4 linked regions of the Lonchura striata genome follow. The protein of the gene in region 1 interacts with the protein of each later gene in a pairwise test. Links are inferred from orthologs where the notes say so. Each region holds a gene or a part of one and is shown on either strand. Other genes may lie near its edges. The genes, in order: KIFC3, ZGPAT, TRIM54 and MFAP1.

Region 1 (6,910 bases):
AAACACCACCTCACGGCACTGCATTTTCTTATCACACCTCTGCCTTGAGCTCTCCTGCCAGCATGACCCATAAGTGACCCAGAAAATGCTATTCTGTTATGAACACTGTTCCCCATTGATGCCTTTTCACTCCCCAGAGATGCTTTTCCCTCCCCAGCCAGGCAGCAGCTCTGCTTGAGGCACACGCTGCTGGGGTCCAGGCACAAACTGGTTGTGGTAAGGGAGGGAACCAGTTGGTTCCCACCTGGATGGCCCAGATGGGTGCAGGACATCCTCCCCATCACCCTAAAACTGCCCTCCCCATACATGCCATGGCTGGCTCAGCGTTCCTCACCTGGAGAGCCCGGCAGAGCCCACGGGGGTTTGCAGTGTCCGGCCAGCTCACGCTGAAGATTTTATGGTGAAGCAGTGCTGGCAGCAGAGGAGCCCGGGGAGAGGCGCCTGCTCCGCCCCCAGTGCCGAGCCTGTCCTGCCCACGGCCTGAGATGGAGCAAAGAGCATCACTGGATCCACCTGGGAGCCCAGCACAGACACAGCCTTCGGCCAGCTCAGCAAACCCACCTCCTCCTCCTCCCTGCTGCCGCCACCACACCGGTGTGGCAGACACAATGCATGACTTTTATTAAAAATGTTAATTATGTTAATTAGAAAAATTAGCCCTCTGGGGGGTGGAGACTGGTTACCAATGACTAGTAATGAGAATTCAGGGTGTAGCTTCCGACTGGCCTCTGCAGGACCAGATCTGTCCCCCACCAGGGATATCCCAGCTCTACCCCTTGCCAAGCTGCTCCACTTCCTGCGATCCCATCTCGGAAAAGCTGCCAAAGCCAGCTTGCATCACCAAAACCAGACAGTCAGACCCTGACGGTGTCACCTCCCTCCACTGACCCCAAATATTTCCTTCATTTGTCAGGCAGCCAAACCCAAAAGCAGCCAGGGCAGCACTTCCCTGTCCTGCTGAGCCACACAGAAGGAAACAGCAACTCAAGGAGCTTTCTCCCATGGTTGTGTCCTGCTCTGCTACAGGAAAAGCAGCTGGCAAGGGCTACATCCCACTGCTTGGGGACCCTGTGCCCCCCGCACCTATCTGCCACAAGTGCTGCCACCACTGCGGGTGGCCAAATCTCTTCTCCAGCTAACAGAGAGAAAATCAATTGCTCACAAATCAAACCTCAAAAATGCAGCCTTTTTCCTCTAAAGCCACCTGGAGGAAGTTGGGCTGGAGGTGGAACTGATGTCTGGAGGGAGAAGTGCCCTTATGAAGTTAGTCCATCACTCTGGACTTCTTCCCAGCCTCTAATTATCCATAACATTTTGCACACGCCATGAAAATTGAGCATTTCCAAAGTGCCAGCAAATGCCCGGATAACAGGTGATGAGCTTCCCATCCCTGTATGGGCAGCAGCAGCCGTTGGGCAGAGAAAGAGCTGAAAACCCTGACTTTGGAGGCTTTGGTGCCAGCTGGCATTTGGCTGGACTGGCCCAAGTGCCAGAGAAGAAGCTGCGTCCAGAGAAGTGGCTGCCAGCACAGGGGGATGGCAAATGCTGAAGCCAAAAGCAAAAGAAGTTCAAATACTGGGGTTTCAGCCTCCACCTTTGCCAAAACCCATTCAGCACCATCGGTGAGGGAGGTGGGAAGGGCTGTTTCCCAACAAGCGGTTGCAGGTTGGGACAAGCAGCTGCCCGCCTGCCTGCAAGGCAGCTCAGCCTCCACAGAGCAAAACTCGACTATACTCACCCATGGGGTCCATGCGCCAGAGAGGGATAAGGAGCCCTTCCAAGGAGCTGAGGCTGGGAAGAGGCAAAGGGCCCACATTCAACCTGCCATGCAGATCACTATTTTCTACCTCACATGTTAAATTTTAACCTTTCTCCCTAAGTTTCCCGCTCGGAAGGGCCAGGAGAGAGAGGGAGGCAGCCCTCTCTTCTCACCAGCACGCTGCCCAGAGCTTTGTGCCTGCTTCTGAGTCCCCGTTTCTCAAATCTTGACCTTCATCCGGAAAGAAATGTGAAAAATGCAGGCTGGCCTGTTCTCAGCCTCTCCTTCCCCAGTGAGCAGGGTGTGAGTGCAGCAGGCTGAGCCCCAAGGGGCAAGGACAAGGCACCGTGCTGTACTCACCGTCCGGGGCAAGGTCCTTGGTCTTCCAGGCGGCTCCGGCGGAGGGCCCGGATCCCAGATGCCAGGCGGTGCGGGACGTGATCATGGCACGGGGGTCCCGAGAACAGCGGCACCTCTGCGGAGAAGCGCAAGGACGGACATCTCAGCCGGTCTCAGTGCCCAGCTGTAAATCCCAGTGGGACGTTCTGGAGCAAAACACGACGGTAACACCGGCTCCGACTCCCGAAACCCGCAGGAAGTTGCATCAATCCCGTTTTTTGCTCCCGAAAAGGCGACAGCCCCGGGCTCCCTCCGTGCTCCCAGCGGATGTGACATAAACGGTGTCTGTAATTAATTTACTCATTCCTGAAGCCTCTCCAGGCCCCTCCTAACCTCGGGCTGGGGCTGCCTTTAGGGAGTTAGGAACTCCGGGACCACGGGCAGCCCTGCGCACCGCACCCACCGCATCCCAGCGCACACAATGCCCTGCACTGCACCGCTCCGCTCGGCACCGCCCGCTCCGCTCCGCGCACACCGCTCCGCGCTCGCCGCACCTCACCGGGGCCGCTTCGGCGGGGAACGGGACACGGAGCCGCCCAGCACACCGCGGGGTTCCTTTGCTCCCGACCCGCAGCGGGGCGGTCCCGGCGCCGGTGCCAGCGAGCAGCAGGCGCAGCCCCGCTCCCGCTCCCGCTCCCGGTGGCGCCGCCCGCCGCGGGCTAACGGGGAGCCGCGCTCTCGCCGCGCCGCGGGCGCTCCGTGCCAGCGCTCCCAGCCCGCAGACAAAGGGAGGGAGCCCCGGTCCTGCCCGGTGCAGCCCGGCTCCCCGGTGCCGCCGGTGCCGCCCCGCGGGGCCACTCACCGGGCGCGGGGCGGCGGCAGCAGCGGGACACACGGCACCAGCCCCGGCCCGTCCCCGCCTGCCCGGCACTTCGGTAACGGAAGCGCCGAGCCCCGCCCCGCACTCGTTGCCACGGAAACTCGTGAAACCCCCGACGGGCGGCGGAGGCGGGGCTCCCCTTCCCGCATCGGGCAGCGGCGGCGGCTGCGGGGGCGCGGGGCTCCGGAGGGCTCCCGGTGCTTCCCCGGGGCACCCCGGCCCCTCTGGCCGGAACCCTGGAAGCACAGGGGAGCCCCGGTGTTCCCCGTGCCCTTCCCAGGGCGGCCCGCCCCCACCGTGCTCCCCTGACCCTCCCTTGCTATAGTGCTGGGGGCTCCCGGTGTGTCCCCGGTACTCCCCGTGTGTCTCTGCCATTCCCACCCCATACCCGGTGCTCCTCAGGGAGTCCCAGTGTAACTGCATCCCACCTGTGCACCCCTCCTGGCATCACTCATCACGGTGACCCTGGGGGACCATGGGGACAGTGGTGCTGATTACCTACACACCGAGGACCCGCCTACCCAAACTATGCCCTCACACTCTGCCGCATCCCCACCGCTCCCAAGCATCCACTGGCAGCAATGCCAGCTGGCACCCCAGGCTCATCTGTCCCAGGGACACAGATATCACATGAAAAACAACCTTTTCCTAACCCAGAGGCATTGGAGAAAACAGCCTTACATGCCAAGACCTCTACAAAAGCCCTGGTGTCAGAAAGGCAACAGAAATGCCTGCATTTTTAGGGTGTGATTTGTATCTGCCTCCCTGTATTGCACACACAGCCCTCACAGTAATGGCTGGTTTGGGTGACACAAGTCACTCATGACTTGTTCACAGTTATGAACTGGCAGTACCGGATATTTCCCATGACAAAGCTGCACTTGGCATCCTTGGTGGTGGCAGCGGGTGCCCCGTGCTGATGGCTCACATCCACATGCCGATGGCAGGCTGACCTGTGTCCCACCAGGGTTTGGGGATGCAGGAGTGGCTGTCCCTTGGGAAAGGAGGGTTTGATGCCAGCCCTGTGCTGTGCTCCCCGCAGACCACCTGCCCTCCCTCAGTCCCAGCCTTTTCTCACTCCTGACCAGGTTTGGAGCAGGATTTAGCCTTGTCCTTTCATCCTGGACTGTCCCTCTTGGACATTGTCTCAGAGACCCCCCATGAGACACTGCTCCACTCCCTGCCACGAGCCAGCCACATGGTGAGGGGTGATAGGGAGCCACTGACATGGGGAGGACAAGCTGCTCTAGCCACTCACCCCAGAGAAAGGGGGCTGTGAAGGATCACCTCCGTGTCCCCATGCCCCTGGCACAGAAACTTGCCGCTGAGAAGCCAATGCCATCCTGGCCTGGCAGCAGCCTGCAGCTCTGCACTGCATTTGCCATTCCCCTGCAGCCAGTGAAAACCTCCCAGCCTCCTCCCCCTCCCCCTTCATCGGAGGTTTATTGGCATTCCCAGCATGGATCCTGGCATGGATGGATAGAGGTGTGTGTGCCTATAGACACACATCCATATGTACATACATTTACCCACAGAGGCCCTAAGCAGTGTCTAATTTGCATGAGTAGCCCATAATCTGTGCAGCTCCTGAGGCTGGTTTGGGGATAATATTGACACACAGGAAGCTACTTTCCCCTTTCCGATAGCAACTGTAAAGCCATATCATTGCTGACTTCATTTATGAGCTGTAAAGAGTAAAACAAATGTTTATGTAATTTACTTTAACTGGTAAGTAATTTCCTGGCTTTTGAATGCTTCAGGTTTTTAATGGTATTGCAATTATGCAAAGCACATAAGTTGTATCAATTACATCAAGTAAGTCTACATTAAGCAGGCACATGCATGAATTCCCCAGTTTAGAAGAATAACTCAATGAATAAGCATGGAGCAAAATCTGAGATGCAGGAAGGGTTCTGTGCCAACAGCCCTATTCAAATAGTCACCTGTGAGCATTACAAAACCCACCCCTCCCAGCTGCTGGGCTATTTTTGGCAAGGACAGCATGGCTCTCTGGCAGGCCCAGCACACCAGGAACAGGCTCTCCAGCATCCAGAAGTGGGGTTACTCTGGCTGCACGCCGCTGGCCAGGTACCAGCTCCCTTTCCCTGCACTGCGATGCTCTTTGGCTCAAAGGAGCACTGTGAATCCCGGGGATGCCCACTTGCTGCTGGACATTCTGGGGGGCTGTGGGCAGCACACATGGGAGCCTGTGCAGGCAGCAGCACCCTGCTCGTGCCCCTCTCTCTGCAGGGATTCACCCATGCTGGCTGGGATCATCTCAGCTTGGTCCCCCAGCGATGCTCCCATCTTCCTTTCCTCGGCTGTCTCCGTGACCTGAGCAAGCACCGGCTGACGACATCGCTGGAGGTATTTTTAGAAATGCTGCTTTGCAGGCAGGCAGAAGAACAGCAACGAGGAGCAGGGCTGGCCGCCAGCAGCACCTCTGCCAGCACCCAGCAGGTAGCAGGGAGGCTCGATACATCGATGACCATCAGTGCTAAAACATCTGCCCTGCGTGGACAGCACCAGCCTGCCACGGGCCACCCTGCCCGGGGACAGTGACCTTGGCTCGGGTCTAGCTCTGCTTTTAGCCCAGCCTGTGCTGTAGCTGAAAAGCATCGCTGCCATGGTGGGGTGAAGCCAGGCAGGTTAATTTGCCTTTTACTTGGATGAAGGGAAGCTCCAGAGATCGAAACACATCACTGAGTGGGGCCCTTTGTATTGGGTGTTTGTTCTGCCCTGAGCAAATATTTAACCTACATTTGTAAGACAGCTAAAAAATCCCCCAAATGCCAGAAAATATGTAACTCCTCCTACTCTCCCTTCGAGCAACCTGATAACCTGGTCTAGGAATGCAGGCAGGAGCTCACCTGATACCTGAAACCTATTGTATGTTGGGATGCTCCCTGTAGAGAATTCCCACCAGAAGCATCAGACAGCGTGAGAATGTGTCCCCAGAGCACAATTAATTATAAACCAGCTCATTATTCTAATTTTGCTCCTCCTTGAGGAGGTGAGGGGATTTCTCGGCTTTGCTGAGGCATGGTTTGCCAAGCCAACATGAAATGCTTTGCAAAGCAGGAACGAGCCCCCTGCATTCCTACATTGCCATTTCACACAATGACAGGAGTTTTAATTAAGTCTTAGCGTGTTCCTGAGAAATTTAATATTCATTTTAAAGTTCCCTAGTTGCGTTAATTCAACCCCGAGGCTCTGATCCTTGCGATAGGGTTATGTGGAACTGGGTGGAGAGCAGGAGCAGGGCAGGGGTGTTTCAAGGATTGCTGCCAAAATCCAACACACTGGGATGCTGCTTCAGCTGGTGGTGGTGTCTCTGCAGCTCAGCACCTTGGCCAAGCCCCTCAAAGCCAGTTAGGCTGTGTTTGGGCAGCCCAGGGCAGCCCAGAGCCTGTCCACAGCCAAGGATCTCTCTGCTCCAGCTGGGAGCTGCTGCATGCCTGGCTCAGCTCTGCCTGTGTCCCCCATGCAAATCTCCTCTATATCAAGCAAATGGCAAAAGCAACACCTTGTTCAACCTGCTGCATTCAGGCAGACAAAACTTCTGCTGTGCTGGCAGCCAGGGCAGTGCCATGTGAGATGTAGCAGCCTTTGGAGGGGTGACTCTTCCACCCTTCCGAATTTCTTATCTCAGACTTCAGTGCACACCATCTAACCAAAGCTCAGCCTCCTTCTCCCTTTTACCTACCTTTTATCTTTGTCATATTTTTCAGCTGGCTTCAGGAACAACTTGGGTTTGGCTTTAATGCCTGTGCCTTGCCTAAAAACCAGCGCTGGGCTCATCCTGTGCCTCTCTGGCTGCTGGGGAGTGGGGAGCTGCTCTGTGGGAGGACTGCAGCTCACCTCCTAAGTCATTAATGTTTCATGGCATTAATCAACACAGGCTCCTGCTTATAAAGCGCTTCTTAGAAACA
Region 2 (7,743 bases), on another chromosome or scaffold:
ACTCTAAAATATCACACCCTCTTCTTCCACTTGTAGGAAGTTCTCCAGCCTTCATTAGCCCAGGGATTTGCACAAAGATTTTAGTTTGCAGTTATAGCATAACAGCCAGTTACTGTTCTTAATCTTTTAGGAACACATAAAGAGATCATGTGCTCTTTCATCAGAGGTGAGACACTCAGAGTGAGAGCTCCAGGACAGTCAGCCAGTCCCAGAGAAAAGAAGAACAAAATCCCAAGTCACTTTTGTTCACATTCTCCCCACTCCCTTACCTTTGGCATAACCAGAATCATCCACACTGTCCTCATCAGACTCGCCAGATTCAGCAGCATCTTCACTTCTCAGGGGTGGAATGACACTGTCCCCTTCCACCACGGCCTCCTTGAGGAGCAGGGAGTCAAATTTCACCGTGTAGTAACCACTGTCCACATCTACAGAGGGCACAGCAAGGACAGGAGCTGCAGCACACAGGGAGCTAAAGCAGAGTCAGCTCCAGCAGAACAACACAGGACAGGGGGGAGTCCCAAGGAATAGTTCTAAAAAATTCTGGGTTTAATCTGTGATTTTTATTTCTGTCTGGGAGGGGGAAGCACTCACTGCAATGAAAAGCTATTTCCACAATTCCTCTGTTGATACCCAAAAGTTTATCTCTACAAATAAAAAAAAAATGGGCTGTTGAGAAATAGAATTAAAAAGAAGTTAGACTTGCTCCCTTCTGACTTTTAACAACAGTTAAAAGAAAGATGGAAAGAAGGAATAAATCCTTCCTCTTCCCAAGACAGAGGGAGGCCTGTATCAGCAGCTGCTGGGCAGGGCCAGCTCCCCTGGTTTTTGTTTAAACAAGACAGATTACTGCCATTCTCACCTACTATACATGTAAATTCCTGCAGTCCCTCCCTCTTCCCTGGAGCAGTTAATGACCTCGTAGTCATTTCCTTTCCACATTCTTGCTCTTTGTATCTCCTGTTTCCCAGCCAATTCTCTCTAGCCTCACAAAACTCAGACAGTTTCCTCAGCTAGGTCAAGATCTTGCCACAGAGTTTATGTTTTTCTGTCATTAACCACAATGCCAAGTTACAGACCCACATAAGCCTCAGCCTCCACCTTCCCCCTGGGCAAGCCCCTGCCCCCCTCACCGGTGATTTTGGCCGTGTACCAGATCCCATCACTGTGCTTGGCCAGGCAGGCTGAGCCCACCCCCAGACTGCTCAGGTCGGGCTCCTGGAATGGCTGGAGCTCCTCTACGGACACCACCTGACCATGGGAAAACCTGCAGGGAAGGAGGAACAGGAGTTTTCAAATGAAAATCCCTTCCTTCCTCAAAAGAAATGCACACGAGTGTCAGAGGTGAGGAACCTTCACCATAATCAGGAAGGTGTGACCACGTGCTGTTGTAATTATAAAGTTGTTCATGTTTCACTTTAAACATGTTATTTATGTCATGGTACAAAGAATGTGTCTCACCCCAGAGAATTAAACTTCCTTGCTAGTGACACATCCAATTAAAAAGTTCCTGACTATGGGGATAAACAGGATCAGAGACAGGCAGGGCTCCAGCACCTTCACAAAGGCGAGGATCTCAGCCCAGCTCCAGCCCAGCACCTTCACTGGGGCTGATCCTGGTGAAGATCCACAAAAATGGAGCCTATACAACCTCCCTGTGCAACTGCCATGTGTGCATTACCCACAGACTTGGGTGTTTTGTTTTAAAATACTTCATCAGTCGTTAATTCAGCCACTCAGTTATGTAACATCTCTGCATCTTTCCCACAGGATTTTCCACTTCATCTGTGCATCAGCTATAGAGAGCAGCCAAACTGGTGCCACTGCTCACCACAGCACATTTTAAAAACACTAAGGCACAATCTCCCTGGGTAAGAAAGCCACAGAGCACTTGAGGAGGAGGATTAACCCTCTGAACGACAAGGCCTCTCCCACCCCTCTCTCTTTACCGACAGTTCTCCTTAAATCTGCACTTGTCATCCAGGAAGAAGGGGCAGGGCTTCAGGGACTTGTGGGTGGGGTACAGGTAGAGCACCCTGACCCCTGCACTGCCGTCCTCCAGCTCCTCTGTCCCCACAATCATGGCATTGTGGTACTCCAGGGTTCCCCAGGAGCTGTAGTAGGGGGCTTTGACCTTCATCCCGCTCAACCCCTCCTCCTCCTCCTCCCTCTCAGACTCCTCCTCCTCTTCACTGCACTTGGATTTGGGTTTATCCCCCGTTTCTCCCTCTCTCTCCGAGGAGATCTCGTTGCCATCAGCTGCAGGCTCCTCATCTGCTCCAAGCCCAGCAATGGCTTCCTTAAAAGCAGCGTATTCCTCATCTTGGGTAGAGCTCTCCCGGTGGGAATCCTGCCCTGGGAGACCTGCTGGGGAGGAGGAGGAGGCATCTGTGTCCAGAGTGGCCAGAAGTTTGCTCTTTTTCACAGCCACCAGGCTGGACTCGGTCAGTTCTATCAGCTGCTTCAAATCCTCCTGCAGCTGCATCAGGTCCGACTGCTGCGATGGGTCCTGGCCCGCCCCCAGCGCTAGCTCCACCTGCTCCAGCTGGGCGTTGTAGGTCTGGATCGCTGCTTCCAGACTCTCTTCATCCATTTTCAGCACAACAAAGGCGCTTTTGCCCGCGTTCTCTCCACGAACTCAAAACATTCAGAGTTTACTCAAGTACTTTGGGATAACAAGTCCTCGCCTGCAGAAGCGACATCTACCCGCCGTCCCGCTCTTTCCCTCGGAAATGCCCAGGGCGATGCTCCTGCTGGAAACAGACGACAAGAGGAGACGGGAGAGTCCGAGGAGAGGCCGGGCCTGGCCCTGCCCTCCACCGCCACGGAGTCCACTCTCGCCCACCGGGCCCCCGCACGGCACCGCTCCTCCCGCAGCCTGGGCGCTCCCTCAGCCCCAGAGCTGCGGCACCTCCCTGAGCCGCCACTGGCCCCTCGGCGGCCGCACCGCGCCCTCAGCAGCCTCAGTCCCGGCGAGCCGCCGCCATGGCACCCGCCATGACACCCCTCTTCCGGCCGCAGCGCCCCCACTTCCGCTGCGCTCGCAGCGCGTCACCCACGCAGTACCGGGCGCTGGGCATTCCGGGAGTTGTAGTCCACAGACACCATCCGCACCGCCACCGCAGCGGCGACAGGACTACATTTCCCAGTGTCCTGGGCGCGAAATGGCGGTGGCTGGTGGCGCTGGGGAGTCGTGAGGGGCGACTCCAGCTCCGGCGCTGACACCGGCACCGGATCAGGTGACGGGCCGCGGGGCTCGGGCTCGAGGCTCTTTCCTCGCCCGCTGCCCTCGGGAGCTCGGGCCGGGACCTGTCTCTGGCCCGGGACGTGACGCGGGGCCATTAGGGGGAAATGGCGGTAGGGCCGGTGATCTCCTTCAGCCGTCACTGGCTGTGACAGGGAGGGAAAGGGCGAGAAATCCCGGATCTTATGGAGGATCTCCCGTCTTAGGGAGGAGCAGGCCGGCGGTCGGGCTGGCCTGGGGTCAGTGGCTGTCCCGGGGTCAGTGGCTGTCCCGAGAGGGGAGCGGCCGGGGCTCCCCCTGCCCGGGGCACGGCAGGAGCTGGGGGCCAAGGGCGGCCCCGGTACCTGTGGGACTGAAGCCCCTTCGTGCCCTGTCCTCCCTTACTGTAAAACCCCCATCCGATTCCTGCTTTGAAACGCTTTTATTTCCCTTTAGGTAATGGTGTTGGACTTCAAAGTGATTGTTTAACCACGCGCTTGCTTAGAGGCAGCTGCCTCTCAAAGGCTGTGCCTGGAGGTTCCCTTTATCTGTGTTCGAACAGAAGGGGTGTTGCAATGCCCGTGAGTCAGCTGCAGCGCCTGCTGCCAGTGCTCCCTGCATCCCTGTGCCTCTGTGTGCGCACCCAGCTCTGAGCTTCTGTAGATCCCTGCTCCAAATACCTGCTCTTTGTATTTGTGTGAGCCCACTTCATTTTCTGTGGGTCTTACATTTACTGCAAGAGGTGTTTGAGTCCTTCCTCAGTTCCCCTTTAAACCCCAAATTTGATTGTGAGCTATTTTCATGATCTCTCTTAGATCTCTGATTTTTCCTGGGATTGCCTAAATATGAGAGGTACTGATGAAAGAGTAACATCGTTTGTTTGTCTGGCATCGGGAAAAACTTGTGCTGTGGCATGAGAGGCTTTTGGGAACAAGCTGTTTGTTAATTGATTTCCTGGCATTTGTTGCAGGAGCAGGATGTATACGCTGCTGTCAGGGCTCTATAAATACATGTTCCAGAGAGATGAGTACTGTGTCCTGATCCTGGGTTTGGACAATGCTGGTAAAACTGTAAGTGCTGTTTATCACTCCGTGGAGGGCACACACAATCCTAAACATCCTCCAGGGATAAATCTTCCAGCAAGGGTCATCCTGAGTTACTTTAGTGATGTCACACCAAGCAATCAACTTTTCCTCATTACTTAAATTTAGTACAAGCTTTCAGGGAGGGATGTGGCTGAGGCTTTGGTAATCCCATAATCACATGTGATCCCTTCTTTTCTTGCTAAAATAGGGAGTAAGAAGAGTGGTTTATCCAAAATTAGGTAGGGCACTATCTGCTCTAGCAGGATTGGGCAGAAATTAAGAGCCAGTAAAATGTTTGACTTTGTCTTATTCTTTTTCAGACCTTCCTTGAACAAACTAAAACCCGATTTAACAAGAACTACAAAGGGATGAGTTTGTCCAAAATCACAACCACTGTAGGCTTAAACAGTGAGTAAATCCACATGGAATTTTTTCAGCTTTCTTGCATAGATAGACAACAGCTGTTTTTTGTTTTAAATATTTAAGAATTCAGAAGGTAATAATAGTTCCTGGGTGCAGAGATTTTATCTCCCAACTATCCAAGTCTTTTTATAGATAATAAAATAGACTTTCTTAGCTTAGGAGGAAAAACTCTTAAAGTATTAAAACTTCAGGTATCCTATTTCAGTGCTGTCCTCAAACTATATTTCCCCAGAGTTCATTCCTTGGCCCAATTCTGGAATTATTTGCACAGATACTGATCTATATTTGTGATCACTCCGTGCAGGTTTTGCTCTGCTGTTGCCTGTGATTTGTTCCCCTACAAGCCTGTCCCACCCCAGATTTCTGAGTGGGCTGTGCAGGTGTCTGTGCTTTACAGTTTTCATTGGATTGCCCTTTCTTCCTTCCTTCTAGTTGGAACTATTGATGTTGGCAAAACTCGGCTCATGTTCTGGGACCTTGGTGGGCAGGAGGAGCTGCAGTCACTTTGGGACAAGGTTAGAAATGTGGTTTTGTTTTATTTTTATTTGATTTATACAACTTGCCCAGAGAAGCTGTGGCTGCCCCATCCCTGGAAATGTTCAAAGCCAGGGTGGGTGGAGCTCTGATCAGCCTGATCTAGTGGGAGGTCTCCCTGCTCCTGGCAGAGGATTGGAATGAGATGGTTGGCCCCTTCCAACACAAACCATCCTGTGATTCTGTGATTTCTTTTAGTTCTTTTAGAACTGAACCACTAAAATCATTTGGTAATCACACAGGCTTATTGATAACCCAAGTATTTAGCAGTAACACTTTTTCAGAAATTCCACTATTTCCGTGGTTGATATTTGCATTACTGGTTAGACAGCAATTACCAACCCAGATCTGGGGTTGTGCCATAGAGATGAGCTTTGGGGGGACACAGGTGAGCTTTTCCACCTGGTGTATTGATCAGACCTGCAAACAGAACAGGCAGCACAGGCTGTGTGCCTCCATTCTGTTAAGGCACACTGTGGATACAGCTGCCTCTAATTGGTTGATCTCCACATGTATCAAAACTGTACCAAAATCAAATCAGGGAGAGAATTGGCACCAATATCTGTGTTCTCCTTCCAGTACTATGCTGAATCTCACGGGGTGATCTATGTTATTGACTCCACTGATGAGGAGAGGCTCTCCGAGTCCAAAAGAGCTTTTGGTAAGTACAGTGTCACCAAACTGTCCTGGAAGGTTGTATCAAATGAAACTGTAATGCAAGAGGGAGCTTCTGGCTTCATCCCTCTGTCCAGAGAATCTGTGCCAGGCATTTGTACAACTTCCAGAACTGGCTAAATCTGGTTTTGTTTCTGTCCTTTGTAGAGAAGATGATTACCAGTGAAGCTCTGGAAGGGGTTCCCATTCTGGTGTTGGCCAACAAGCAGGATGTAGAGGTAAAATATGGAGGATTTACGTAAATGAGCAAATAAGCCTTGGAAAGGTGAACTATGCATTCATGTTAAATTTGTTCCACAGTCCTGAGTTGATCCTCTGGTACTTTCCTACTACTTGAAATAATTACTTTGAATTTAGTTGTATTTTTTTCCTTTCTCCTCCAGCCCTTTTTCAGTGCCATGAGTGAGCTTCCTACAGGCACATAGTTTTGAACTCTTTATGTAAACAGAAGAAAATGCATAGCTATAGTGGGTTTTTTATGTAGTGTGACTGCCTATATTGATGCTGTTTTTTCCTGTTTATTCAGAAAAAAATGTTTAGTGCACTTTGTTTATGCTGCTCTTTCAAAACCCAGGAATAGCGCAACAGATGTATGTGAAGCAAATCATCCTTTCCCCATAATTGGATAAGATCTGTTTAATAGTTTGTTGTAGAGCATTCCATCAGTGACAACAGTGAATGGCAAGGACAAGGAATGCTCCTTTTCTGATAATATAATTTGAATTCTTTGCAGTGTATTCAGGACTGTAAAGCTTTGGATAAAGCTTTACAGAACGGTAAACTGTAAGGGTTTGGGTTTGGCAGTTTGTGGGTGGTGTGGTGTTTAGGTGACACATCCTGGGCCATCCTTACCTCCCCCAGCATGGAAAAAAGGAAGACAGTACCCAAGGTGGTAGTGGTGTTTTTTGTGGTTTCCTCCTGGAAATTGTACCTGGAATTGCAGGAGTGCAGCTGCAGTGACTCGTCTGTAGATGGAGCCAGAGGCTCGCAGTAGGATTTGGAGCAGCAGACCTGGCAGCTGGGCTCAGTCTCTGTTCCAAAGGATGCAAAAACTTCTCAGGTTCTTTCCTCTGCACTTTACACTTGTCCGAGCAGTTGCACTTGTGGAAACACGTGAGGCTTCCATAGAAATCACTTGGCTCTAGAGCAGGTTTTAATGAGTACAACACAGATTGGTTTTTGGATGATGTAATTCATTTAGATTATCTAGATTATCTAGTCTTAGAAATAAGAGAAATGTAATTCCATGTAAAAGCATGAGATCAAGTCTGAACTCCTGATTTATGGTCCTGACTTTGCTGTGGTTTCTGGAATGTAGGGAAATGGTCTGTCTTTTTTCTGTGGAAACCAGAATATTGACTCTCACATTTCTGTACAACCCCACAGCTTTTCTGCAGGGAACAGCCTGCACTCTTGCCTTGACTTGTTGAGGATAAAGTCCAACAAGTGACCTGGAAGGTTGTTCCAGTTTCTCTCTTGGTTGTATATACATATTTTCTTACAAGCTGCAGACACTGGCTTTTCTGACACTCTAACCAGACTAAAGACAAATAATTGAACAATTTGGCTTCTTTAAATTGCTAGAAAGAGGTATTTGGAACAGCCTTTCAAAAGCAAATCTGGCTTCTTGCTTCCTCTGGAGGGTCCAAGACCAGCCCACAGACTTAGTGCCTTCATGCAGTTGTAGAGCTACAAGAGATTAGCAAAGCTAAACCCACTGGAGGTTTGCTTTGCTTGTTTGTAAGAAATACCTGCACTGGGTATTTAGAGGTTCACTCCTACAGAATGATCTTGGATATGGAC
Region 3 (7,498 bases), on another chromosome or scaffold:
TCCCCACTCCCAGCAGGTCTCCTCTGCCCCACGGCACCCCATGGCCGTGCCCATCTCACTCCCATGAGGTCTCACCATGGGGAGAGCTCGCTGGCTTCTGCCTCGGCCCCACATCTGCAGCGGGAGAGAGGGAGCAAGAATGAGGCAAGGATGCCCCAGCACCCTGAAGGACACGTGCTGCCACACGGAGACCACGGCACAGCCGAAGGCTGGCACTGGACACAGCCCTGGGCAGTCAGGGCAGGCACTCACCTTCAGCAGCTTCGGGCACCTCCAGACTGTCCAGCCGGTCCTCGTCTGCTGCAGCCTCACTGCCGTCCCCAGGTCCATCCCCCTCATCCTCACCCAGGGGCTCTGTGGGCAGGGGACAGCTCAGGTGGGACCTTCCCTCCCTCCCTCCTGCATCATGGGGATACACTAGGGCATGCAGGAGGGAGGTGATGGAGCAGGACGCTCCAGGATGGACGTTCCTAGGAGGAATGTGACCAGCCCAGTGTGGGAACCAGGGAGAGCCTGGGCAGGACTGACCCTCCAGGGCCCCTGGGTGGAGCTACAGGTGAAGGTCACATCCCCAGTCCTGCGTGGGATTCCCACACAGGGCATGTGGTGAGGGGGGCTCCGCCTGGGGCTCTGGGCACCCCAGGCAGTCCCAGCACCCCCTCAGGACAGCAGCAGTTTCCCCAGTGCAGGCACCTGTCTGGAACTCGATGGTCCTCAGCATCTCAGCCACATAGTCCACGTTGATGGAGAAGTGGTCCATGTTCTCATAGCCAGGCTCAGGGCGGCTGCTCATTGATGCCTTGGACATGTCTGTGATCCTGCAGGGCAGAGACACCCTGGGAGCTGCAGGGTCCAGCACCCAGAGGGCCACCAGCCAAAGGTCTTTTCCCTCCATAGTCCCCACTCACTTTTTCAGGAGTTCCTTGGAGTGCTGTGAAGGAAAACGAGGCGGGATCAGTGTCTTCTAGACATCACCCCCACCACAGGTGGGGCACATCCAGGGGCATCCACAGATCCTTTTGGGTGAGCACAGCCCCCCGTTTAGACCTGTGAGCAGCCCCATGCCCCTCAGGGAACACCATGGCAGCACCACACAGCCCCCCTGTCCCTTCTCTCCCTGCTCCCCTGGCAGGACCTGCAGGTACAGGGCCATCTGGGGCTCCTCCATGGCCTGGATGGCTGACTCCACCAGCTTGGAGGAGGCCTCCAGGTGGTCTCCGTACTGGCGGATGAGCCCACGGACTCGCTGCAGCTTGGCCTCCTGCTCGGCTGCGATGCTCTGCAGCAGCTCCTTCTTGCGCTCCTCCAGGATCCCGTAGAGCGCATCAAACCGCAGCCCCACATGCTGCTTCTGCCGCCGGCCGTTCTCCTGCGGACAGAGCCAGGGCTGCGCCGTGTCCCCCCAGCACAGCCCCAGGGCTGGACACTGCCAGCGCACCACATCCCCCCACTGCCACAGCCCCGGGCCAGAACCCTCGGTCCCAACCTCGATGGTGTGGCAGATCTCCTCCATCTGTGTGATGATGGCCTGGATCCGGTCATTCCCCGCCACCAGCATGGCAATGCCATCGCTGAGCTCGCTCTGGCAGGAGAGGGGCTGGGTGTGAGGGTGGCTGTGCAGGCACTCTCAGCCCCCCGAGACCCCAGGGTCCCCCCACCTTCTGGCGCTGGTAGACGGCCGGCAGCGGGGCCACCTCGCAGTCCTTGTGCGCCCCGAACACCTTGCAGAGGGAGCAGGTGGGCACCTCACAGCGCAGGCAGTAGATGTTGATCCGCTCGTCCTCGTGCTCCTCGCACATCAGGTGCTGCTCAGCCTTGGCATGAAGGGGTCTACATGGCGGTTTGGGGTATCAGGTAGACACCTTGGCCCCAGAGGCACCCCAGCTTCAGAGACAGCACCAGCCCCGGGATCTGCCCAGCCCTCAAGACACCTCTGGCTCCCAGGGACCCTTCAGCTGCAGGGACACTGCTGGCAGCAGAAATACCGCTGGCCCTGGAGAGACCCGCAGCCCCAGGGATATTCCCTGGCCCTATATGGACCCCATGGCTCCCCAGTTCCTGCTGGGATCCCACCCCGAGCCCTCTCGCTGGGTTTGCTGTCACCCGCAGGTCTCGCCCTGCCCGCCCCGGGGTCCCCACGCCTCCGGACCGGGCCGACTCCTGCTTGTAGATGTCGATGATGTTCTCCACGAGCAGGTTCCGCTGCAATCCGTACACCCCGTGCCGGTCTAGCACCACCTCGTGCCGGCAGGACGGGCACCGGAACCGCCCGCCCGACGGCACCGCGCTGGAGCCCCGTGACTGCCACAGAGGGTTGGAGGCCTGGGGGGGTACGCGAGGGGTCACGGCGGCGGCACCCCGCACCCCCGGCACCTCCCAGCCCCGCGGATCTGCACCCCACAGCCCCCGGGACGCGCCCGGGCACGGCCATGGCACGGAAACAGAGGCGGAGACGGGCAGGAGCACGGACAGGACACGGGTGTGGAGACAAACAAGGACTCCTACACGGGCTCTGCTTCCCGTTCACCGTCTCCGCCGGCCGAGAGTGGCACCGGGCACAGCCCAGCCGGGATTGCCGGTGCCGGTGTCAGACCAGGCCCCTCTGCGAAGAGGATCCCGGTGCTCTGGTGCCGCCCGCCCCTCCGCCTCGCTGGCCGGGGATCCCGGGATAACGGGGCCACCACCCGCCGGACTGGGGTCCTAATGCCTAGGTCCCGGTGCCTCCCCGCGCCCCACCGGCGGGTCCCACCTGGAAGACGTCGTTGGCGCACTTGCGGCAGAGGTTGTGCTGGCAGGGCAGGATGACCACGGGCTTGGAGAACATCTCCAGGCAGATGGGGCAGATGAGCTGCTTCTCCAGGCTCTCCATGCTCCGCGCCTCCGCCAGAAGCGGCTTCAGCCCTACCGCGAAGTTCATGGCTGCGGTCCCGACCCGGCCCGGCCCGACCCGGCTCTGTCTCGCGGCTCCGCTCCGGCCGCCCGGTGCCCGCTTTGTTTCGGCCCCGGCCCCGGCCCCCGGCGCTAATTTTAGCCGCCCCCGCCCCGCCGGGGCCGCAGCTGTCGGCGGCGTCGGGTGACACTGAGTCACCGCTCCTGCCCACCCTAGGGACCGGCTGGTCCCGGGACCCGCTGCGCTTCGGGACCCGCTGATCCCCTGCCCGGGAGGAGGAGCGGCCGAGGCTCCGGGGACCGGGCCTGGCTGGTGCAGGGGTGCAGGGCTGGCAGTCATGCTGAGGAGTATGTGTCCCCCAGCAGGGCTGGGGGAGGTTGGGGTCCCGCAGATCCCACAGCCCAGTGCCAGCCCCTCCGAAGAGCAGGGTGGAGGGGCTGGAGCCAGGACACCCCCATCCTCACTCACCCTGGCACCCTGGCTATATTTAGGGAGTGAGGCAGAGCCCATGCAGCTGCGGGCAGTGGCAGTGACCAGACATGGGAAGAAAGTGCAAGCGGCTCACAGTGTCCCCCTTGGTCCCATCCCTGCCAGTCCTAGCCCTCCGCAGGAGAGCGGGGCAGGAGCAGGGGCAGTGCCGGCAGGGGGGAGCAGGGCTCCAGGATGGCAGCAGCAAGGAGAGGGAAGAGCAGAGCCTGCGGGAGCCAGCAGCAGGGGACAGAGCGGGACCCAGGTGGGTGACAGGAGACCAGTGACATTCACTACACTAGACATGACCATTCCACACAGGACGTGACCTGCCTACTGCACACCCCAGTTAGTCCCCACAGCACCCTGCAGGATCCATGGGCACAGCCCCCAGCATGGACAACACCAGGCAGAGGCACATCCTACCACCGACGGACAGAACCCAGGCACACACACTCCCCTCCCGTCGGCCTTTAATGGTGCCCACAAAAACCTAGACAAACCCAGAGGGCAGAGGAAAGGGGCACAGACAGGAGCACCCCAACTCCACAGCAGCGTTTGGCACCCAGCACCCAGCGGGAGGGCTGCAGGGGGGCAGCGGGCTCAGCCCAGCCCCAGAGGTTACAGTGCTAATGGTCTCGGACGCGCTTGGCTCCCTGCAGAGCTCGGCCCGGAGCGTCCCTGCTCGTGCCTGCTGCTTGCTGCCCGACCTGGGCACCGGCAAGGCACTCAAGGGGGCCATGGCAGCATGGGCTCCAGGCCACTGCCACCACCAGTGCTGGGGCATTGCCCTGGAGCTCGAGCAGGGGCCCAGGAGCCTGTGCATTGATGCTGGCCAAATTAACCTGAGATTATATCCCTCCCGAGGCTGATGAGCCAGTCTGGGGGGTGGGACCGTGGTCCCAGAAAGTGACAGTCCCAAAGGAGAATCCCTGCCCCGAGTCCTCAGGGAGCCGGCGGGATGGGGCCAGCCTCAGGCATCACTCCTGGTGCTGGCTGGCAGTGGGTCCGTGCTGGCAGGCGCGGGCTGTGCTATAACAGGGATCTGAGGATCTGGAAAGGAAGAGCTGCAGATCAGTGGCTCAGCCCCATCCTGTGGTGCCAGTGAGCAGGAATCTCACAACACTGCCTCAAGGGCCCCCACAGCCCAAAGCCCCCATACCCCTGCCCAGTGCAGAGGGCCATGGGAGTGCCCCGACCCCAAGGAAACCTGCAGGAGTCACCCAGCCCCACTGACACCAGTATGGCTGGTGCCAGGGAACAGCTGGCCTGGAGCACAGCTGCTCTTCCCGTGCTCTGTGTCCCAAAGGGCACAGGCCCCAGGGTCTCTAAGCTTCAGGCCTGTTCAGGGGGCCTGTGTCCAGAGGGAAGGAGAAGGTGTACCCATGGCCCGTGCAATGTCTGCCTGGCACTGTCACTGCCACCAGCCCTGACCCACACAGGAAACACCAAGGGCTGGCTGTAAGAGCTGTGACTAAAACCAACCCAACATCTGAGCCAGAACTCTGTCCCCCACACAAGATGGAATAAGGGGAGATCCCAGAGCCCCCACCAAGCAAACACAGGTGCTCCTAGCCACTGGCTCCCGCCTGACTTACCGCTGTCCTCTGCACACATCTGTGCCTCCAGGTCCTTGGGGTCCACATACTTGTAGGACTCATCCTCCTTGGGCGGGCAGCACGTCCCACAGCAGAAGAAGCAACAGCAGCAGCAGCAGCAGCAGGTGAGGGCTCCACAGCACAGCACCAGTGCCTGTGTCAGGGACAAACGTGCTGTGAGCTCACCCAAGTCCCTGACCCATCACAGCAGGGCTAAGACCCCACTCAAGCCACCAGCCTGCCAAACCGCTGAGCCAGTGACCCGCCAGCCCCGTCACGCCAGCCCCACGGACACCGGACGATGCCGGGCTCACCTTGAACCACCACTTGGACATGAGGAAGTAGTGCCGGACGGCATCGTCGCCGAACTGCTCGGCCACGTAGAGGCCGAGGGAGCCGTACTGGTCATACAGGCGGCGCTTGTCCGCGTCGCTCAGCGTGGCGTGGGCGCTGTTGATCTCCTTGAACCGCTCGGCTGCCGCCGGGTCATCGGGGTTCTTGTCCGGATGGTACTTGAGAGCCAGCTTCCTGTGGGGTGAACCGGGGACCCCCGGCATGGGCTCACAGCCTCGCTCCCCGGGACAGCCCACGGCCCCGGTAGGGACCCAGGACCCCCGGCACGGGTTACAGCCTCGCTTCCCGGAACCGACCCTGACCGCCGGGACGGCACCGGGACCATCCGGACGAGATCCCGGCCGCGCTCGCGGGACGGACCCTCACGCCCGGGCTCCCAGGGACCGCGCGGACCCCCCCGTACCGATAGGCCTTCTTGATCTCCTCGGGGGAGCTGCCCTTCTGCAGCCCCAGCACGCGGTACAGGCTCTCCCCGACCCGGGACAGCTTCCGCTGCGGCCGCGGGGGCTCCGCCATGGCCGCGCCGAGGGTCGCGGGGTCGGACGGGACGCGGCACCGACCGCCACGGCCCCGCCCCGCCGCCGCTTCCGCCCGCGCCGCCGCCGCTCTGCGCAGGCGCCGCCCGCGACCCGGTACAGGGCACGGCCCGCCCGGTGACACCGGTACAGGGCACGGCCCGCCCGGTGACACCGGTACAGGGCACGGCCCGCCCGGTACAGGGCACGGCCCGCCCGGCGACACCCGGTACAGGGCACGGCCCGCCCGGTGACACCGGTACAGGGCACGGCCCGCCCGGTGACACTTGGTACAGGGCACGGCCCGCCCGGTGACACCGGTACAAGGCACGGCCCGCCCGGCGACACCCGGTACAGGGCACGGTCCTCCCGGTACAGGGCACGGCCCTCCCGGTGACACGCGGTACAGGGCACGGCCCGCCCGGTACAGGGCACGGCCCGCCCGGCGACACCCGGTACAGGGCACGGCCCGCCCGGTGACACCCGGTACAGGGCACGGCCCTCCCGGTACAGGGCACGGCCCGCCCGGCGACACCCGGTACAGGGCACGGCCCTCCCGGTACAGGGCACGGCCCGCCCGGTACAGGGCACGGCCCGCCCGGCGACACGCGGTACAAGGCACGGCCCGCCCGGTACAGGGCACGGCCCGCCCGGCGACACGCGGTACAGGGCACGGCCCGCCCGGTGACACCCGGTACAAGGCACGGCCCATCTGGTGACACCCGGTACAGGGCACGGCCCGCCCGGTGACACCCGGTACAGGGCACGGGTGACACGCGGTACAGGGCACGGCCCGCACCACCTGACCCCGGTCCGGCGGCAGCAGGAGGCGGCACTCGGGGATCGCGCTGCTCCTTTATTGGTACAAAACGGCGGCGAAGAGGTGGTGAGGGCACGGCCGGGCCCGGGACGGCGCGGGTACCGGGGCAGACCCCCGCCCCCGGGATTCCCTGCTGCCGTCGGTGGTGGGGCCGAGGGGGGGGGGCAAGGCTGCCGCTGCCCTTTGGAAAAAGAACCTGAGCAACAAGGGCAGCACCGGGGACACCTCACCACTCCCTGGTCACCAGCAGCACTCTGCACACTGAGGATGGGACAGCACCGGGAAGGCAGCCCCGTGACAACCCCCTCAAGTCCCGGGGCCAGGGATGGAGTGTGGATTGGCAGGGACGGGGTGAATCTATGAGGTCCAGTCCCTGATGTCAGAGGGTCCCACTGGAGCTGGAGGCCGCCCTCAATAAATATAAATAAATATGGATTCCAGGCACAGAGCTCGCCTGGACTGGACCCCATCCCCCTCTTTCCCTGGGGAGAAGGTGAGCACCCCTCAGGCACAGCCGCAGGGAGGCCACCACTCCCTCTGGAGGCACCACTGGCCCAGAGGCAGGGCTCTGGGAGCAAGGAATGTCCTAAATATCCCCTCTTCGTGGTCCGAAGGAGAGGCCATCCCTCTCTTCTCCCTGGGGAGGACTGGTCCTTTGGGGCAGAGGGAGACCAGTAGCAGGGGCTTGTCTGCAGGTCCAGAGAGCCAGGGGCTGGCAGGTGGGCACAGCTGGCAGCTCAGGGCCTTTCCTGGGGTCAGGGATGGGTGCCAGCCCTGCAGCCAGCCTAGCCTGTGGTCCTGTGGCCAGATCAGCAGTCCGTGCTGTCATTCTCACACCAGGCCGAGGGGCCAT
Region 4 (7,378 bases), on another chromosome or scaffold:
TGTATTTGCCCTTTACTGCCTTGTTGGTGATGACTTTACCATTGGCCCGGAGCTCAGCACGGCGCTCCTCCTCTGTCAGGTTCCGCATACGCTCGATCTCTGCCTTCTCCTTCTCCATGCTGGGTGGGAGAGAAGCTCCTGAGACTGTGTGTCCCCACAGCATCTCCCGGGAGAGAGGCTGTCACCAGCTAACACATGAGAGCTTACACATTTACTGCTAGGGAGCAAAGGCACCCCAAGGGTGGGCAGGAGGGACTCTGGGCATTCAGTCCAGCTGGGACCCTGCTGCCAAAGGGCAGCCTGAGGAAAAGGTGGGGTCTCAGCCTCTAGTCTGAGAGACAATACTTACGCTTCTCGTTCTTCGCGGTCTCGTTTGATACGCTTCAGCTCACGGACTTTCCAGGCCTCATACTCCTCCTCATCGTTCTCATCATCTGTATCGAGTGCATCCAGTGCTGCCAGTGAGCGCTTGTTCTCCTCCAGCTCCTTCTTTGCTTCCTCTTCTACAATCTGCAGTGAGGCCCAAGCTAAACTTGCTGCAGTGGCTGCCCCCTCCAGCCTCCAGCCCACCCCTCCGTACCTTAAGCGTGTACTTGCGCCTCTCCTCTGCCATCCTCTTTGCCTCCTGCTCCAGCTCCTTCTGCTTCAGAGCTTCTGCTTCTCTCTCCTGGACTGTGATCCGGTCCTTCCTGCAAGCAGGGCCATGACAGCCTTCAGCCCTCCCACGAGCCAGTGCAGTCGCTCAGCCTCTCACTGGCTCCCACACTGCAACTGCTTTCAGCCTTTGCCCTCTCCAGGGATAGGTCAAGTCCCAGGGCTCTCCCCTTCCTGGGTACTACCACGTTCTTTTGCCACTATATGGCCCTTGACCAAGAGCTCTGGTCAGACTCCACAGCCTGATGCCACAGCAACCCAATGCAACTGATACAGGGCTGTGGGTACAGGGATTGCTCCTTGCTCCCTAGCTGTGCCCTGCCAGGCTGTGACCATCCCATCCCACCCCAAGGAGGTCAATGGCTTCTCACAGTGAGAAGAGACCATGGCAGCAAGGTCTCCTTGGGCCCCAGCTTCTGACTACCACGATCCAGGGCCAGCCTACACACTTCCATCACCTACTTGCGAATAAAGACCGGTTTGAGACGTGGCTCCATTTCATCTTCGCTGTCCGTGTACTCCTCATACTCGGATTCTGACTCAGACTCTTCTCCAGACCGACCCTCATCTTCCAATTCCATCACTTCCATCTCCTCAGTTTTCCTCTCCTGTGCTCGCTGACGCATCATCCCACGCCGACGCTCAATCTCCTAACGGGGACAAGCACAGAGCAGTCAGAGGCCTGCCCTGCTACCACTTCTCTCTCTCCTGTGAAACACGTCACGTCTGCAGTGTTGGCTTTGAGAAGATGCACCTGCCTGTCTGGACGTGGCGTGGCCTCCCCCAGTGTCCTGTTCCATGCCAGAGGATGATAACTTACATGGTTAAGTCGTGGCTAGGTGTGACACTTGTCCAGATACATCAGACAGCCCACATATCCATGCAAAGGGCAGTTCCAGCCTGTGCCCTTCCAGCTTTCCTAGGCCCATTATCTGGCTCTGCAAACACACCTCATCATCAATCTCTTCCTCCTCCTCTTCACTGGTGTCCTCCCGTTCCAGGCGCCAAGCTTCTCCCCCCTCCACTTCTGAATCGCTTTCTCCGACCACTTCAGGTTCCACGATTTTGCGGTGCCTTGCCAGCCTGCAAGAGACCCCAGGTGATGCACAGCACTTGGAACGTAAGGGGGCTGCAGGAAAGTGACTGTTCACAAATCACTTCTAGCAAGGCCACAGTAAGCACTGGGACTGCCAAACATGGCCAGAATTGATATGTTCTCTACCAGGTCACAGTGCCTGGGCACTGCCAGCTCTTCCCTGTCAATGCTTCAAGGAAGAATGCTGTTCCAAATGAGAAGACTCCTTGTTAGTGGAAACAAAACCAACAGCAGCTCCATGGGAGGCAAACAGCACTTAGTGGTGCTTTTCTGCAGATGATGGAGACGGAAATATCACAGGCTGCAGTGAAGCGCAATCTGCGCAAGCACATGGGCAACGTGGTGGAGGCTCTCATCACCCTCACCAACTGAGCTGGGAGGCCATGGGCTGCCCAGAGTGCATTTCACGAGACACCATCCTTCCTTGCTACCCCGAGCTTCAGCACGCTGCTCTAATTTCTGTTTTGGTGCCTGTTTCTCCTACCATCCACCCACACACACCTGGACATGGACTGTGCCTGGCTGGCTCCTGGCTGGAAAGCAGCCCAAGGCACAGTGGATATGAGAAGTCACAAACGCTCCAGCACTGCCTGGATAATGTTCCCAGCTCTGCCCTGTGGAGTTTCTCCTTGCAGTCTAGAGTCCCAGCCCCCCGGCCCCAGATAGGCAAAGGGGGCTCAGCTCTTGTTGACCCAGCACTCACCGCTCCTCCACATCCTCAGCGATGCGGTTCTGGAGGCGCCGGAGCCGGGGGTCGTTGGCCAGTTCCTCCTCCTGTTCCTCGGGCTCGACCTCTTGCTCCTTCGCCTTCTTGATGAATTGGAACTCCTCGTCCTCCTCCTCCGAGGACTCCATGGGCGCGTAGTCGGGCCGCTTGCCCGACACGTACCGCTTCACCTTCACCTTCTCCATGGACAGCTCGCCTGCGGGTGCCGGCCGTCAGCGGCGGTCTCGGCCCCGCACCCCCGTCCCGGCCCCGCGCCCGCCCGGCCTCCCCGCCGAGCCCCGAGCCCCCAGCTCACCCTTCTCGTTGCGGACGGGCACGGCGCCCGCCGTGGACTGGATCGGCGGCTGCTTCATGAGAGCGCTGGGGACCGACATGGTGGCGGCAGGCGGGGGCCGGGCCGGGCCGAGCGGGGCCGAGCGGAGCGGAGCGGGGCCGAGCGGAGCCGAGGGGAGCGGAGCGGAGCCGAGCCGGGCCGGGCCGAGCGGAGCAGAGCCGAGCGGGGCCGCTGACAACGGCGCCTCGAGCGCTCACCCGGAACCGGAACCTCGGCCGCTTCCGCCGCCACCGGGACCGTGCCGGGGCCCGGAAGTGGCGCTGGGCCCGGGGTCGCTGCCGCGGGGACGGGCACCGGGGCTCGGAGCCGTCTGCCGTGGCTGCGTGTCGGCCCGGCGCGGGGTGCTCCGGGCCCTGCGGCCGGCTGGCAGGGGGGTCCCCGGTCGTTTCGCCATCCGCCTTCGGCCGGGAGAGGCTCCGTTCCCCCCTGCACGATGCGGGTTTCTCCCCGGAGGGGAGTGAGGGCGAGGCAGCGGCCGAGCGGCCATAGGACGGCGGGGGCACCGGCAGCGCCGCGATGGGGCTCTGCGGCTCGCCCGGGTGCGGCTCGCCCGGGTGCTGCTCGCTCCGGCCGCGTCTAAGCGGCGCCGGGGCTCTGCGGGCCCGGCCGTCCCGTGCGGGCTGCGTCTGAGCCGGCAGCTGCCGGAACGGAGCGCCCGGGGCTACCCGTAACTCGCTGAGCTGGGGAACGGCCTGCGCCTGGCAAATTCCTGTGCCGAACTGCCCGCCCAGCCTGAGAACTGCTGCTCGCTTTGGTGCGCGGTGGGGCTGCGGGGCTGTGCGGAGCCCGCTGCCAGCGCGGCTGCTCGGGGCAGAGCGGGGCTGGGTGTCCCTGGAGGCCAGGTGGCCGTGGCTGCTGCCCAAGCCGTGCCGTTCCTCCCTGCAGTGCGGCACGGCAGGCCGTCCGCCTTTGCTCCCGACGGCCGCAGCCAGCCATGACCCCAGTCTCCCTGCTCTGCCCGCTCCAGCCAGCTCCAGCAAGCCCCAGCGCTGCTGCCTGGCTCCCTGGCAGCAAGGACAAATAGCTCTTGCGTGCCCCCGGAGCCCTCGGCCAGCGCCAGCAGGGCAGCTGCTGCCGGTGGGGCAGCACCTCCACCTGCCGCACGGCAAGGCTGGGGGAGCTCCTGGGGGTCCCACTGGCGTGGGTGTGAAGTGTCTGTGGGGAAAGGCTGGGGCCACGGCTGCTTCTTGGGGGTTTCCCGTAAGCAGCTGGCTGCTGCCTGTGTCAGCAGCCGAGGTGTGTGAGGCTTCACAGTGTAGGGCGAGTGGCTGGGGTGGGATGTCCCTGTGCACGCATCCTGCCGCAGAAGATAACAGTTTCTCTTAAGTTGGGTAAAACTGCGTCACAAGCCACTGCAGCCACGTCTGCCACTTTCTGCTACCTTCTGCTGGCTTCTACGAAGAAAGGAAGAGGAAATCCTCTTTTATCTTCCATGAAATCTGCTTGCTGGCAGGGAAATTTAGGAAGCAGGGGGAGCGAGCCACACTTCAACAGTTCACCGGCAGTAGCAGAGCAGGTACTCTCGTGGGGTGAGGCTAGCTCTGGCAGCCAGGAAAGGCCAGGGCACATGTGCTTTTCCAATTGGTGGCTCAGCAGTGGAGCACAATCCATAAGGGAGTGCAGGGAAGTGTTTTTCTTTTGGTGTCCTTGGTCTGGCTGGGAGATGTCCCTCTGGCAGCATCTCCTGCAGCCAGTCTAGGGGAGAGCAGACCAAATTTTTGGCAGCAGTACCCTAGTCTGGTCCCAGAAGTGGCTGCAGAGGTCCCAAGGCCACGGTGGAGGCTGACTCTCCTGGGAAACTCTCCTTGGCCTACAGAGATGCCAGGACTGGGCAGATCCAGTTGGATGACCACAATCTGGCTGGGCTGCAGGTGGGGGTGGCTGCCCCAGGCACGGGGACAGGTGGGCCCAGTCCCTTGAAGCACTGGCTGGCTGCACCTGGCATCCTGACTCAGTCCCTGCTCTGGTTCCAGGGAAGGGTGTCCCTGCAGTGCCCTCCATACAGACCCATTTCTGCTGCAGGCAGAAATGGTGCAGTGAAGCTGGTAGTTTGCCTGAGCAACTGAGGCATCGATGCCTTTATAATCCTACAGCACCTACAGACTGCCAGGAACAAGCAAGAGTGGATCTGTGTGCTTGTTGGTGTTCTTCTGGCCTTTGCACCCAGGTGACAACCAGAGCAGCCACTCTGTGTTTATGTTGTTAGTGTTGGATGTTGTCACAGTGTGTTCCCACCTAGTAAGTCCTGTGCCACATGGCAAGGAATAAGCTTTAACAGGACTTGAAGGAACAGTTGGCCACAGTACCCAAGAGGAAGCTTGAGGATTGCACACAAAGCAGATACTGTCCTATTCAAGTGAAGCTAAACTAAAGACCTGGGCAAACAGGGAAATACCTTCAAGCCTGGCTCAGTTCTGTGGCTGCAGGTGCTGGAGGCCATGGCAGGAAGATGCCCTTCACTGCAAAGTCTCTTTGCCCCATGTTCCCTTTGCCCAGTGCAGTGGCTGCTGACATCTTGGCCCTGCCAAGTCTTGGCAGTTGGCAGATGGGCAGCAATGGGGTGGGAGACACTTTGTGAGGCTGAGCCCCCCATTCCTGGGGTGGTGTGAAGCCATGGAAGGCTGGCAGCTGTTCCATGAGTGAGCCTGGAGCATGGGCCAGTCTGCCCCTCAGTGCTGTGCCAGCCACACCTGCTGGTCTTTGGGCTGGGTTTGCTTGTGAGCACCCCCTCCCCAGCCCACCGAAGCCCACGGGCACATGGCATTCCTACTGCTGGGCTGCAGGTGGGCTCCCAGCCTTGTGTTCCTTGCCCGTGTGTGTGTGTGTGTTCCTGTGCGTGACACTACTGTGGAACGCCCCAAGTGCCACAGGCACCTTATGCACTTAGGCTGGGCAAGGAAATCCCTGCACCTGTACAGCAGGTGATGACAGGGTGCTGTCCAGGACAGGTGATGGAAGGGCACATCCCGCAGCCCAGAGCAGGGGCAGAGCCAGACTAGGCTGTGGAGCATTACGACTGCTGCTGACAAAGCCTAAGGCAGATAGTTACAGAACCCACCTTGAGCAGCTGCTGTTTGTGTCTGCAGCTGTACTGCAAGGACAAGGTCAGGGTGTTTGGGCTGGGCCTGTGTCCCTGCATGTGCCTACAGTGAGATGTTGTGTCTGGGAGTCAGAGATGAGTAGAGCTGCTGGAGCCAGCTGGACCCTGTAGACCACAGGTCCTGCCTGGAGCATGGCAGTCCCAGCTCCCTCAGCACTAAGAGACCTGCTGGTAGTATCCAGGGTGGAGGGGACAGACTGGGGAGACTCCAGGGAAAGGGACTGCAGCCTTAGCTTTGGGATAGTGTAAGGATGTGTGCAGGGAGAAGGCTGGACAGCACAGCAGAGGGACTGTGGGCTCACCTCTGCTGGCAATGGGGCAGAGCAGGCTGCTCTGTGCTGGGTAAACCTTCTGCTATTGATTTGGTGCATCCAGAAGTTTCTGCCTGCTGTTGCTGCCTGTTACTTGGTTTTCTCTGCTGGTTTCTCTGTGTGGGCACTCTGCCCTTTACTTGCTCACTAGCTGCTTTCACCTGCAATCCTCCAGGTCCCCCAGGCTGGGATGTTTGCAGGCAGGAGTGCAGCCCTATGCTGCTCTGTTTCCCAGGGAGCTTAGGCAGATGGGCAGTTGTATTCTGCAGGTTGAAAGCTAAAAATGAACCTGATTTTTCCATGAAAGTGGGTTTCTGTTGATTGTGTGTGCAGCCAAGCCACACCAGTGTGCTCAGAGAAGGGGAGTGTGGGGGACTCTCCCACCCCCAGTGAACAGTTTGGCCCCTGTGGCCATAGTGAGAACCCCAGGGGATCCTAGCAGGGCAGACCTCACAGGATGGGACAGTACAATGGGCCGGCAGTAGTGCTGCCAGTTTGCTGGGCACTGCTGCATGGAGCGGCTGTTTCTGCTGTCTCCTGGGCTGCACTGGTGCCTCTGAGCCACAGTCCCCAAGTCTGAGATGAGGGTTTGTGCCTGGCAGATGTGCGGCAGTAGCTGTTTCACCCCTCGCTGCATCATGGCTCGGGGCAGAGAGGGGTGCCTGGCAGCCCTTGTGAGGTGAGTGGGGCACGGCAGCCGCTCAGATCCCTGCTGGTGGCCTCTCTCTGCTCCTTCTGCAGCTGGGCCCAGGGGCTGCTGGCACAGCGGGTCTCCTCCCGGTCTGTGGCGATGTGCCACCTGCAGCCAGGTGCTTCCCGACCCTGGTGTTTTCTTTGGCAGGGCTGTGGGGTCAGCGCAGGTCCCAGGCCAGTGGTTTGCGTAAGAGCGTGGTGCTTCCTGCCCGCCTGCCCTGCCCCGCAGCACCGCCATAAGCCCGTGGTGACAAGGGCCCTTTGTCAGCTCCTCATGTCACAGGGCTGCGTGCAGCAGCTCCTCACCTGCCTTGGCACGGCTGCCAGCGCCCAAAGGAGGCATCCAGAGGTAAGGTTCATGGGTGGGGCAGGCAGCCTGTGTCCCATCCTCCCTCCCACCACCAGTCCGGACTCCAGCTCCGACCTGCCTCTGTCCATGCATTCTCCATATAACCCCATGGGG

Evidence for each region.
Region 2: the proteins of KIFC3 (region 1) and ZGPAT interact in binary tests that used the Homo sapiens proteins (3 or more experiments, as listed by UniProt). The two-hybrid records come from large-scale screens. The link is inferred for Lonchura striata from reciprocal best matches to the Homo sapiens genes KIFC3 and ZGPAT.
Region 3: the proteins of KIFC3 (region 1) and TRIM54 interact in binary tests that used the Homo sapiens proteins (3 or more experiments, as listed by UniProt). The two-hybrid records come from large-scale screens. The link is inferred for Lonchura striata from reciprocal best matches to the Homo sapiens genes KIFC3 and TRIM54.
Region 4: the proteins of KIFC3 (region 1) and MFAP1 interact in binary tests that used the Homo sapiens proteins (3 or more experiments, as listed by UniProt). The two-hybrid records come from large-scale screens. The link is inferred for Lonchura striata from reciprocal best matches to the Homo sapiens genes KIFC3 and MFAP1.

What each region holds. Positions count from the first base shown.
Region 1 is NC_134615.1:17,416,546-17,423,455, forward strand, and holds the start of KIFC3 (kinesin-like protein KIFC3), read right to left. Parts: upstream 3,011-6,910; 5' UTR 2,961-3,010; intron 2,235-2,960; 5' UTR 2,205-2,234; coding exon 2,120-2,204; intron 481-2,119; coding exon 335-480; intron 1-334. UniProt on the Homo sapiens protein: Minus-end microtubule-dependent motor protein. Involved in apically targeted transport. Required for zonula adherens maintenance.
Region 2 is NC_134619.1:7,097,477-7,105,219, forward strand, and holds the start of ZGPAT (zinc finger CCCH-type with G patch domain-containing protein), read right to left. Parts: upstream 3,009-7,743; 5' UTR 2,594-3,008; coding exon 1,950-2,593; intron 1,268-1,949; coding exon 1,134-1,267; intron 429-1,133; coding exon 270-428; intron 1-269. Other genes in the region: ARFRP1 (ADP-ribosylation factor-related protein 1), read left to right, coding at 4,201-4,293, 4,629-4,716, 5,164-5,246, 5,845-5,926, 6,088-6,158. UniProt on the Homo sapiens protein: Transcription repressor that specifically binds the 5'-GGAG[GA]A[GA]A-3' consensus sequence. Represses transcription by recruiting the chromatin multiprotein complex NuRD to target promoters.
Region 3 is NC_134605.1:113,724,009-113,731,506, forward strand, and holds the start of TRIM54 (tripartite motif-containing protein 54), read right to left. Parts: upstream 3,004-7,498; 5' UTR 2,918-3,003; coding exon 2,750-2,917; intron 2,323-2,749; coding exon 2,150-2,322; intron 1,831-2,149; coding exon 1,659-1,830; intron 1,583-1,658; coding exon 1,487-1,582; intron 1,370-1,486; coding exon 1,136-1,369; intron 932-1,135; coding exon 909-931; intron 837-908; coding exon 694-836; intron 355-693; coding exon 253-354; intron 115-252; coding exon 76-114; intron 1-75. Other genes in the region: DNAJC5G (dnaJ homolog subfamily C member 5G), read right to left, coding at 4,332-4,411, 4,957-5,110, 5,271-5,484, 5,714-5,826; uridine-cytidine kinase-like 1, read right to left, coding at 7,455-7,498. UniProt on the Homo sapiens protein: May bind and stabilize microtubules during myotubes formation.
Region 4 is NC_134613.1:24,430,368-24,437,745, reverse strand, and holds the start of MFAP1 (microfibrillar-associated protein 1), read right to left. Parts: upstream 3,004-7,378; 5' UTR 2,852-3,003; coding exon 2,773-2,851; intron 2,674-2,772; coding exon 2,454-2,673; intron 1,738-2,453; coding exon 1,605-1,737; intron 1,305-1,604; coding exon 1,117-1,304; intron 690-1,116; coding exon 581-689; intron 511-580; coding exon 350-510; intron 120-349; coding exon 1-119. UniProt on the Homo sapiens protein: Involved in pre-mRNA splicing as a component of the spliceosome.